3 linked regions of the Coturnix japonica genome follow. The protein of the gene in region 2 binds, or shares a complex with, the protein of the main gene of each other region. Links are inferred from orthologs where the notes say so. Each region holds a gene or a part of one and is shown on either strand. Other genes may lie near its edges.

Evidence for each region. The genes of interacting proteins can lie anywhere in the genome.
Region 1: PHF20 (region 2) and KANSL1 share a complex: the UniProt entries of both Homo sapiens proteins name them as parts of the NSL complex. The link is inferred for Coturnix japonica from reciprocal best matches to the Homo sapiens genes PHF20 and KANSL1.
Region 3: PHF20 (region 2) and KANSL3 share a complex: the UniProt entries of both Homo sapiens proteins name them as parts of the NSL complex. The link is inferred for Coturnix japonica from reciprocal best matches to the Homo sapiens genes PHF20 and KANSL3.

What each region holds. Positions count from the first base shown.
Region 1 is NC_029542.1:2,356,974-2,360,843, reverse strand, and holds part of KANSL1 (KAT8 regulatory NSL complex subunit 1), read right to left. Parts: intron 3,114-3,870; coding exon 2,918-3,113; intron 1,411-2,917; coding exon 1,245-1,410; intron 1-1,244. UniProt on the Homo sapiens protein: Non-catalytic component of the NSL histone acetyltransferase complex, a multiprotein complex that mediates histone H4 acetylation at 'Lys-5'- and 'Lys-8' (H4K5ac and H4K8ac) at transcription start sites and promotes transcription initiation.
Region 2 is NC_029535.1:781,467-785,336, forward strand, and holds part of PHF20 (PHD finger protein 20), read right to left. Parts: intron 3,499-3,870; coding exon 3,303-3,498; intron 1,603-3,302; coding exon 1,203-1,602; intron 1-1,202. UniProt on the Homo sapiens protein: Methyllysine-binding protein, component of the MOF histone acetyltransferase protein complex.
Region 3 is NC_029537.1:1,133,339-1,136,294, forward strand, and holds the end of KANSL3 (KAT8 regulatory NSL complex subunit 3), read left to right. Parts: intron 1-1,603; coding exon 1,604-2,139; 3' UTR 2,140-2,285; downstream 2,286-2,956. UniProt on the Homo sapiens protein: Non-catalytic component of the NSL histone acetyltransferase complex, a multiprotein complex that mediates histone H4 acetylation at 'Lys-5'- and 'Lys-8' (H4K5ac and H4K8ac) at transcription start sites and promotes transcription initiation.

The sequences.
Region 1 (3,870 bases), on a different chromosome or scaffold from region 2:
GTGTTTAGAAGACCCTGGTGCTAAAGCTCTCACTGAGCCCCATCCATGTGGGCAGCAAAGTGTGAGAGCAGTTGTTCAACCACTGACAGCCTGCACAGACTGATCCCAAAGGGGAGGGAGGGCTCAGAGAGGGCCCTGAGGGGAAAACAGCCTCCGCTCTTTGCTCATCTCCTGCCTCTTCCTGGAAATACATTCCACCGTCAGCAGCTGACACATCTGGGGAAGGATGGGCCAGGCTGAAAGGAGGCAGAAACACAAAGACAAAAGGCAAACAAACTGTGCTGCCCTTGTGATGGTCACAGCCACGGTGCAGAGCATCCAAGGACCGGCAGATGGCAACCGCGCCGAGCTCAGCACGGCTCACATCCTTCCACCAAGGTTATTACATCATCCCCAAACTCCCAGCTACAAATCACACCGAGCAGAAAAAGGAGAAGAGAGAAGGGACAGAGAACTTCAGAAGATGTTAAAGCTCCGCCGTGCACTCCACGCTGCTGCACCAAGTCTGTGCAGAGCTGGATTTACATCTGTGAGCACAAGGCTTTGACCCGACCCAAGCACGAGCAGCAGAACATCACCTTCCCCCCAGGAGCCATCCCCTTCCACTGGGAGACCTCTGCCCTGGCCTGCTGACAGCTCAGCTCTCCTGCAAGAGTGCCCACTCAGATCATCTGCACCTCGCTGTGGTCAGAGGGAAACGATGATGGGTGGAGAGCAGTACATGCAGCCAATAGGTTTTAGTCAGAGCAGCAGCAGCCTAATGGGAACGTCCCTTCCTCCTGTACCCTCTGACCCACTCGAGATCGTGGACAACTCCATACAAGGTCAAAGAAACATCCTGCAGCTTCCACCAATCCACAAGTGGTTTCATGCAGGTAAATAAGCTCTGCTGAGGTCTGTGACCACCAGTCACCATGCTCTGATGTTTGGATGGTGATGGAGTTGGATGCAAGGATCCTTATGGTCCCGTCCAACTCAGATTATGCTATTTATGACACCAGCACAGGACCCAGCACAGACTCTCAGGCCCCAGCCAACACTCTCTCTTCTGCTGCAGCAAATGCTCAGCTCCTAAAAGCACGTGCAGATGAAGAGCATGGTTTTAATTGCATCCATCACACCAGCACCTCCTCAGGGTGAAGGCTGCACAGCTCCTCAAGCCCCAGACACTCCCTGGTGTCCCATGTCAGCACCCAGCCCGACCCCCCAACCCCCTCCCCACAGCCCTGCTTTGCTGTGCTCACCATCAGGGAAGGACAGAACGGGATGGATGCAGGAGTCCAGCTGCGAGAGGCGCTCCAGCAGCGGCGCATCGTACTGCATCTCCAGCGCCGCGGAGCTGCGGGCACCACACAGAGCACACGAGGGGTTCACATCACAGCTGCACCGTGCCAGGCTGTTCCGGTGGACCTGGAGAAGGCCACAGAGAAGTTCAGCATCCCACAGGGCTCTCTTTGCATGCTGCCCTTTGATAGATCATCAAATAAACCCTGATCTTATAACACCCTGCAGCAAACCTGTTGATTCAGTCTGGACCTTACATCAACACAGCCGAGAACGACTGCTTGCCTGCACACAGCATCCCCTAGACTTGATTAAAAGTGTTTATCTGGGTTGAAAACCTCATTTACAAAACCATGAGACAGCACAATTCTGTTGTCAGGGAGGAAAAACACCTTCTAGTTCAGACAAGACAGGGAACCACCAGCCAAGAGCTGACACCTACAGCGAGTGAGAAGGTTTTCAGTCTTGGTCTCTAAACCAGGAGGGACTTTCAGTTCACAGACTTTATATAAACCTCCTCTGTATAAAAAACCATCGTGGTGCAGATGCACAACTGGATGTAAAACAGGCAGAGCCAGCAACCGATGAACCCCCCACTGAAATGGAAGGATCCATCGAATCAGATCCTGTGAAGTCTGTTGAGTCTGGTATTATTCAGATAATTTCCACTAATGACTCGAATGATGGAAGAGATAATATCCTTAAGCCTTAGCAAATAACAGTACAACTGGGAAGGGCTGCAAGCAGCTTGGAGGAGAGAGCTGGAATGAGAGAAGTGATGGAAAATGAACCAAATCCTGCTCAATGAGGGTAAAAGCACAGAAATACCCCCAGCGAACTGATTATTCCCACTTTTCAGCCAACTCAGCTGGCCCAGAATCTGTTTTGCTCAGCAGAATGTTTCTTTCTGAGCTCCTTTAAACCCTATCCCCCACAGAGCGAGAAACCCTGAAACTTTGTGGTAATTAAGTTTGACTTGAAACACTTGTGACTCAAACACAACTAAGTGGATTTGTGCCATCCATAGTTCTGCAATCCTAAGAAAAAAACAAAACCCCGTCCTTATTCTATTTCGAAGCATCTGTTCTCCAACTGACAGCTCGTGGCACTCCTGAAGGAAGTTAAGAAGGATGGAGCATGGTTTGTCCTCACATAGGATGCTCAGGGAATAAACAGAGCTGAATTCTGCATGTGGGAAAGGGACGGTGGGGAGGAGCAGAAAATAATGTATTAATAATGGGTCTGTGTTAATTCCTGTATTCAGTATCTGTGTTTCCCATACCTGCTTCACTCAGCTGCTCCCATTTTAGCAGGCTGAACCCCCTGTCCTGAAGCTTACCTTAGGATGGGTGGGTTATGAAAAGAACCCTCCCCTCTGTCAGAATCCAGTACTGATGACAGCTAACAGAAACCTGCAGCAAACCAAAAGCTTCTTCATTTCTCCTTTACTTCTCCCACAGCCCCTGGGCTGCTCTTCCTCCCCTCTCTGTAACCACAAACACTCCCAAAGAGCGGAGATGTCTTTGTGCAAAGCAGAGCAGACCAACCCATGGGGTGTGGGAGCTCCTTTGGTGCACAGCTGGTGCTACGTAGAGCAGAAAAAGAGAGTAAAGCACAAAGGAGCAGCACTCACCTTTTTGGACAGGGGCATAATGCTGCTGGGTCGAACCAGCCGTCGCTTCTTGCAGCTCAGCACCGGGCGCGTGCGGGCGGCCACACACGTCCCATCTGAAGCTGAAGAGACCACATTCAGCCGCTGCTTTTTATGCAAGAGCTCCTCAGCTTCCTGGCCATCTCCCTGAGCGTGTTCTGCCAGGCCAGGCTGAAGACTGGAGAGAACAACAAGGAGCAGAGCGTTATTCCTCTATCACTCACAGACACGGTCACACTTAAAGAGACATAAACTTCTGATCAACACTTGGGAACCATCCCTCCAATAGCCCTCAGCAACAAGTGCAATGTTCACCTTCCTGTTCCACACACCAAAGAGGTTCCTGCCCACATGCAGCATCCTTGCCCTGCTGTGGCACTGATGCATGATGCCACCTACTAAACACCAGCAGAGCTCCGCACCCACACAGCCTTTCCATGCCTATTTTATGAGTGTTTCACATCTAAAAATGCAAAACGTTCGAGCCCTGTGGCCTGATGCCCCATAGCTGACAGGCTGCAGGCACACAGAGGGCTGTACCACGGCCTGCAGTGCTCCAGCTGTAGCCATGAGCAGGTCCATGGGTATTTCTATGTGCTCACATTGCAGCATCCTGCCCAAGGTGTTTCTGCAGCCACTGCCAGAACCTCCACAAGCAGCACAAGGTTCAAACCCTGACACCATCCTCCAGCACTGGAGAACTGCTTTTGCTAGTTTGCATTCCTGCCCTTTTGAGACCTTCTTAGCAAAAGCAACCTGAAGAAACAACGCAGACAGAACCTCATTTCTGATGGAATCAATGGGAGTTGGGGTCCTCTCTATCTCCACGAATGCAGGCCAATGGTCTGCAGATCCTGCTGCAGAATAACTGCAAGCAGGCCTCTCATCTCTGGATCACACCATTTGCATTAAAAATACCCATCAAGAAACAGTTC
Region 2 (3,870 bases):
AGGCAGTTTGGGCAAAAGCAGATCACAACAGACCCTCACAGCTGTGAGGTCTTAGCAGACCTCCCTGTACCTTCTTCTCCAGCACCTTATTCTGGGAAGGTAACACTGAGCTGTATCTGACACCCACAGATACAGATAACTTCCTGCTGGAAGACACTGCACTAAATCTGTGTGTCCAGGAGAACACCACAAATTCCTTTAAACAACAGAACCCAAGCAAAGAGCAAGCTGTGCTACAGCAAGGAGGGGCTCTTCCTGAAGGAATCTATTCCCAATTCTCCTGTAACTTCCATCAAAGCACCCAGACAACTTATCAAACCTGACTGCACTGTGGCAGCTGTGCTTTCTTCCATCATTTTTCTGAAATGTGACAGGATTTAGAGAAAGACTCCTAAGAGATCAAAACACTGAAACACATCTTTGTGGGAAACAAAAAGCCATCCCAATGGATTTGGCAGAGAAATGAGGAAGAACACGATTTACATGTTCTTTGGAAATAAAATAAAAGCTAAACTGAATTCCCATCCAAGAAACAGGGAGGTCAGTCAGTACTTCCCCCGAGGCCTTCCATTTGTCAGACCATACTTCGTGACCTGACAGCACCTAAGAGAAGCCAATCTGCACACTGCAATGTAGAGAGGCCTCTGATACAAGCTTGCTGGACCTGATGGAGCTGGAACTGAGAACTGATCGTTAGAAGCAGAAAACTGGAGTGCGTCAGTGGGAAAAGAACTGAACTATTTAGCAATGACTATACCTAACCATCACTTCAGGTTACTTATCTACATGTTGCCTGAAGAATGTGGAATCAATTTAATGTTGCTATTTAACAAATGCGAGAAAAGCTGGCAATACCAAAAGCTGCAATAGCAGTATTTGAGAGTATCACATGTGCTTGCCCTGCTCTCTCCCTAGCATTTGTCTGTACTGTCTAAAGCAGGCAAGCAAGGAGCAACAACGCACTGGCAGAGCACAGTGCATGGAGAGTACAGATGATTTAAAACCCAGAAGTTGACTATTGGGATGAAATGGTGGAGATGTTCACATCTATTACTTAAATGTGCACCAGCAACCTAAATTCAGCATCACGACAGGAAAAAAAATAAATACATAAATTAAATGCCATTACAGGGGCTAATGAGTTCTGCACTTTGCCAGACAAACGCATTCTCTCTGCAGAGAGTTTATTTTAATATAAATACCTTGGAGTAATTGTGTTTGGATTCATTTTCCATTTTACATATCTCTCGATCCAGATTCCACCCGAGCCTCTCCGACAGGACGTCATCCCCGTTCTCCCTTATTCTATTTACACCCTCATCCATGGCTGAGCTTCTCGTTTCCACCACCAACCTCTGCTCGATAGCAGGGTAGTAGGCCCGAGGTTTCTGGTAACAGTGTTCACTCGTGATGTAAGATTCCTCCACAGAAGGAATGGCTGAGGGTTTCTCAGCTGTCCCGTTCCAAGTTCTATAACTCGTCGTCTCCTCTTTGCAACAGTTTTCTTCAATGTGAATGATGTGTTTTGTATGGATTTTTTCATCCACTGTAATGTGTTTCCATGGATGGCACCAGAGCTTTAGGTCAGGATGTTCTTTATTTCTGTTCAAACATAAAAGAAGTCAGTCATCCACCAAATTTAAGCTTAAAATGACCGTAGGCTGTACTACCATGTAAAGAAACCAAGCAAGAACATTTTCAATACTACATACTTTGGTCATCAGTATCACCAAACACACACAAACACGTTGAAATATTTCCCCTGAACCCAACATGCAGCATCCTACAGTGCTCTATCAGGTTCATTACTTTCACTTCTCTAACATGAACCAAGTGTTGGCACAAAGGAAAAGATGAAGAATAAGCTTCAAAAATGTGAATATAAAACTTCACCAATGTTGCCCTCAAAGGCTGAGATTTGTCTTCTTATCTGTAATTTGACAACAGCATTAACCCATTTTCACAGGGACGGTTTTAATTGTATTTTAAACAGGTAGGTTAAGTATGCTGGAATTACAATATATCCACTAACAAGGTGTATTCCCACACCAGCAAAGCAAGCTGACCCCCCCAGTCGCTCACTTAAAGATTTTTGTCTGCAGTTTCCCCAGATAACCTTCAGAATTCAATCCACTGATTTTGTCCAACCCTCTAATGACAACAATGGCAGCCTTGGGGTGGGTGTAGTAGTGCTTCATTAGTTCCTTCACATCTAGCTTCCCTTTAAAGCCCCTTGGGATTACTGGGAGAGCTTGAGCACTATTCATTCCAGCAGCAGGGACAACTGTAACTATTAGATTATTACATACTATAGCAAACAACATTTGTTTGTTGTCACACCCTTGGTGAGGTATCCTGAATGCACCTGAATGCTCTGGTGCTCTCTCACCAGAACTTTCTGCTCCAGCTCCAGACATTCTACACCTAAAGGTGCTCCCTGTGGAGCAAAGCAGCAAGGGATCCTTTGCACAAGATGGAACATATTTACGTTCCAGTCACCTGAGACAAAGGTACTTCCAGATCTGACTTAAGGACACCTCAGCAGAAAAGCAAGGCATCACCTTACAAGTGGCACCTTCTTAATTTCCAAACACTGCCAGTGGCATTACTGCAACACCACAGATTAAACTTAAGGAAAAAAAACAAAAAAAAACCAAAGAACTGGAAACACTCTAAGCTTTGTTTTCTAAATAGCTGCTGTTGAGCAAATTATCAATGAATAAATCATGAACTGTATTCAATCAATTAGAAAATGCTAGATGTGGATTAGGAAAAAAACCTTCAGTCAGAACCAAGGGTGACTTCAAACAGAAAACTATTGATTTCTACAAGGACTAGGAACAACGTTGGTGCTGTGTTTTGTTTTGTTCTTAGCATACTATGTTTGCACAAAACTGATACACTGCAGGTTGCTGAAGGTCCAACCACTCTTCCTCTACAGGGCAACAAATTACGCTAAAAGAAGAGACATGATTTTGACTCAAAAATTACTGGATAGAGAAAGTAAGTGCTATAAGAACATTGCCATGGTTATGCACCATGCTCCATTTGCTACTGCTCTATTTCACTGCTTTAGGAAAAGCTGCTGTTAGTTTTTTCTTCTTATTTTCCCAGCTCTTCTTCACACTGTCAGTTTACACTCCCCACCACACTTATCCAAGACAACATTAGCAATTCAAACTACGGTGGCGTACATCTGCAGAGAAACATAAAAAGTCAGTCTGAATTTCTTGTTATTTTTCTACTAGTTGAAATCTAATTCACGTTGAGAACACGTCAACTGATACTTAAACACTGCTTACTTCAGTATGCTCATCTTCAGCTGCAGTCCATGCAGTACTTCTATCACTCTCTGTACATCGCCAAGAAGCTGGTGAGTGGCTACTATCTTCTTGGCATTCTGGTGGGAGTAATTTTCTTCCAAGAACGCTAAGCCATGCATGTGGCCATTACTCAGCCACTCCTTCTCATACCAGTACTTTAAGCTGGACCTCTGACCTAGAGCAACAGTAATGAGTGTGTTAAAATGCAGCATTAACTACAGCACGTTAACATTACTGGTGGTAACTATGATCACCCGTCTTGCGCAGTGTACTATCTCTTATAAGTAGCACCAACAACCATCTTATGACAGCAGGCAAAACTTTGGAGATGTAAGAATCTGTAAGCGGGAAGTGAAATGGTACCCTGGTCAAGAAAATCTTGGCCCAGCTGTAAAAGCCAGGGGCATTCAGACCCTGATTCCTACAGAACATCCACAACATGCAGCTGGTGTACAGAGAAATGCATTGACTGTAGCAGGGTATCCTTGATTATACCTAAAGCCAGATGGATACAGCTTTGCAGACAGAAATGCCGCAACAGACAATT
Region 3 (2,956 bases), on a different chromosome or scaffold from region 2:
TGCTGCCTTGAGCCAAAGAGTGGAGTGTAAAGTGTCAGCCCAAAGGGATTATTGGTGTCTTTAGGACCCCCACCACATGCTGACAGCGCTCTCCCTGCTGCCTGCACTTATTTCCCTTCCTTAGGGAGAGCAGAACCATCCAATTACACCTAAATAAATATTGCAGAGCCACTACCCAGCAGCTCACAGCCTCAGACTTACAAATGAAATAGAATCCTGTACAAAAGAGCCCCCTCCTGCCAACCCTGTGCTTCCGTTTCCCTCTGCCCAGCTGCTTTGCTGCTCTGTTGGGAAGATGAGCAGGTCTGTGGGACACAAACCAGATCTGGTGGAATGAAGAAGCTGTGCCAGCTTCCCAGAGGGCAAACACAGCAGCTCCGGGTGGTGTTGATGTGTGGGATCCTTCACTGTGCTGCTGGCTTTCCTTGCAGGCATCAGACCCAGCTGTAACTCTAATCAGCGCTGACCCCCCCACGACTCCCTGCTGTTTTTCCCCCAGGACTCAGCAGGGAGTCACAGAAGTGCTGGGTTTAATTCTTCTCCTGTGTTTTGTTTTCTGTGTCCTTGCTACTTGTGATAAGTGGGTAACTTCTGGAGGTTGAGGTTGGCTCTTCGTTCAGCGGGTGGACCAGTTTGTAGTGAAGCTGCTATAGAGCAGCAGCATGAACTGGGGTGTTGATGTGTTTTCTCCAAGCTCTGTTTCATGGTTGTTTCAGATGCCTGCCAGCATCTCCATCTCACTGTGCTGCTTCCTCGCCCTGTTTGGAGTGCTCAGTCTCCTGTTCCTGCTGTTCTGGCCTCTCTGTCCCCTCAGGGATGGTGGGATGTCCCAGCTCTGTTAGTTGGCTGCTCCTCAGCCTTTGCTCTGTGTTCTCTGTCTTTGAGCCTGGTGTTCTCTTTTGGAGAGGTTGGCTCTGTGCTGCTGGTGACTCTCACCCCTGATGGTAACCTGATGTTACCAGCTGGGGTGAACCATGGGCTGTTCCAGGTTAGGATCTTGAATCAGCAGCAGGTCTACAAGCCTTTCCCAGTGTATTGAGCACATCTAACCCTGGTGATTGGGTTTCAGTAAAGTCTCCTTCCCATGGGCTGTGGTTCCTGGAGGAGCAGGCTTAGATGAAGGAGCCATCACATGCAAACTCTGCTGTTGCCTTAGAGCACAAAGGGCTTCACTGATGGCTTCTTGCTGCTGTTGGGGTGGAGCGTGACGAGCATCTGAGCACCTGCAGAAGCCTTCACTGCTGGTGGGACAGAGCTGGGGATGCCTGAGCTGTGTGAGAGCCTGGAGAGTGGGATGGAGATTACGTGGCAAGGAAGAGACCAGAGTCCTGGCCCTGTGGGAAGGGACCATCCTGGGGAGAGGATTCCTGGACTGATCTGAGGGGTCTACAAAGGGAGCTGGCAGGTTTGGGGTCCCCTTGCCATGCTCTGCCCAGCCCATGACAGTGCTGGAGTTTGTTTTGCAGTCACTCTGAAGGCAAAATGGGGCAGAGGGGTTTCCAAAAGTACAGCCTGAAGCCCTTCCACTTTGCTCCCAGGGCTGCAGCCCAGGGTGGGCCCCCTGCCCCCATGACTGCTGACCATGTCCTTCCCTTCTCTGCAGTGACCACAGCCAGCCCCATGAAGACCCTGTACGTCATGTCAGATGCCAAGCTGTCTGCTCTGACCAAGTCTGTGATGGATGAGGCTACCTCAGTCCCCCTCAAACTGCCAGGCATCCAACCTTCCTCCTCCTCTGCCAGCTCTCCTGCTGGCCCCGTCACCTTTGCCTCCCCCCCGTTGGCTGGCGCTCCCAGTCCTCCCAGCAGCCTGGTGCACTCCAAAGTGGGACCCATCCTGCAGCCTGCTTCCAAAGCCGTCATCCTCACCTCAACACTGGCCACCATGAAAGCCGACGGGTCCATTGGGGACAAGGTCAGTCTGACCAGGAGCACCTCAACCCTCAGCCACACGTTGGGGGCGATGGAGACCTTGGGGAGGGTCCCCTCTGTGGTGGATGATGGAAGCACCCTCCTCCATGCCAGAGAGACCCTGACAAACAGACACTTGCTGCCAGGAGGGACTGGGGCTGCCCTCCTAACGCTGAGCAGCTCCTCTGTCATCACTACAGCAGGGCCTGCGCTGGGCCAGAAGCCATAGGGACCTGGGGGACCCTCAGCATGGCTGTGGGGTGGGAGGGGGGAGGGCAGCCCTGTGCTGATGGGGCTGATTTGGGCTCTAGCAAACTGAGGGGGTGTTTTCTGGTTTTGTTGAGCTGTTTAATAAATCTTTTATATATATATATATATATAAATATATTCACTGGCTTCATCATACCTGGCTCTCCTAAAAGCTGCTCTTTCAGCAGCTGCACTGGGGGCTTCTTAGATGCTCTGAGTGTTTGAATTGGGTTTCTTAGATGCTCTGAGTGTTTGAATTGGGTTTCTTAGATGCTCTGAGTGTTTGAATGAGCCCAGCTTTGTTGGTCTGATTTCTCTCGCCTTGAGTGCACGGACAGACAAAGCAACATTGCGCTGTGGGTCCTGGGAGCAGCAATGAGAGAAGCTGTTCCATTGGAACATCCCTTTGGTTTTCTGCTTCTGAGAAGATTTGAACTTGTTGATAAAGCTCTGAGGGTGCAGAGCAGGATTTAACCTTTATAGTTGTGTATCACAGAGCATAAAGTGTCGTCAACAACCAGCCTGAAATGGGGGAAGCAGCCCCCAAATGGAGTCCCAAGGGGATGAGATAAAGCTGACGTTGGCAGCATTAAAGGTAGTTTTCCAGGATCCGTGTGTTCCAGGGCTCAGGACCAGGTCTGTCACTGGGGTTGCTTTCACAGGCTGGAGCTGAGAGCTGTGATTTGCTGTTTGTATTTCTATTACTGCTGGGGTTAATCTCAATGCTCTGCATGTTGTTGTGGCTCTGCCGTACCCTGAGCCCTCAACACCCTCTTCCCTGGAGGGATGGGGGGCAC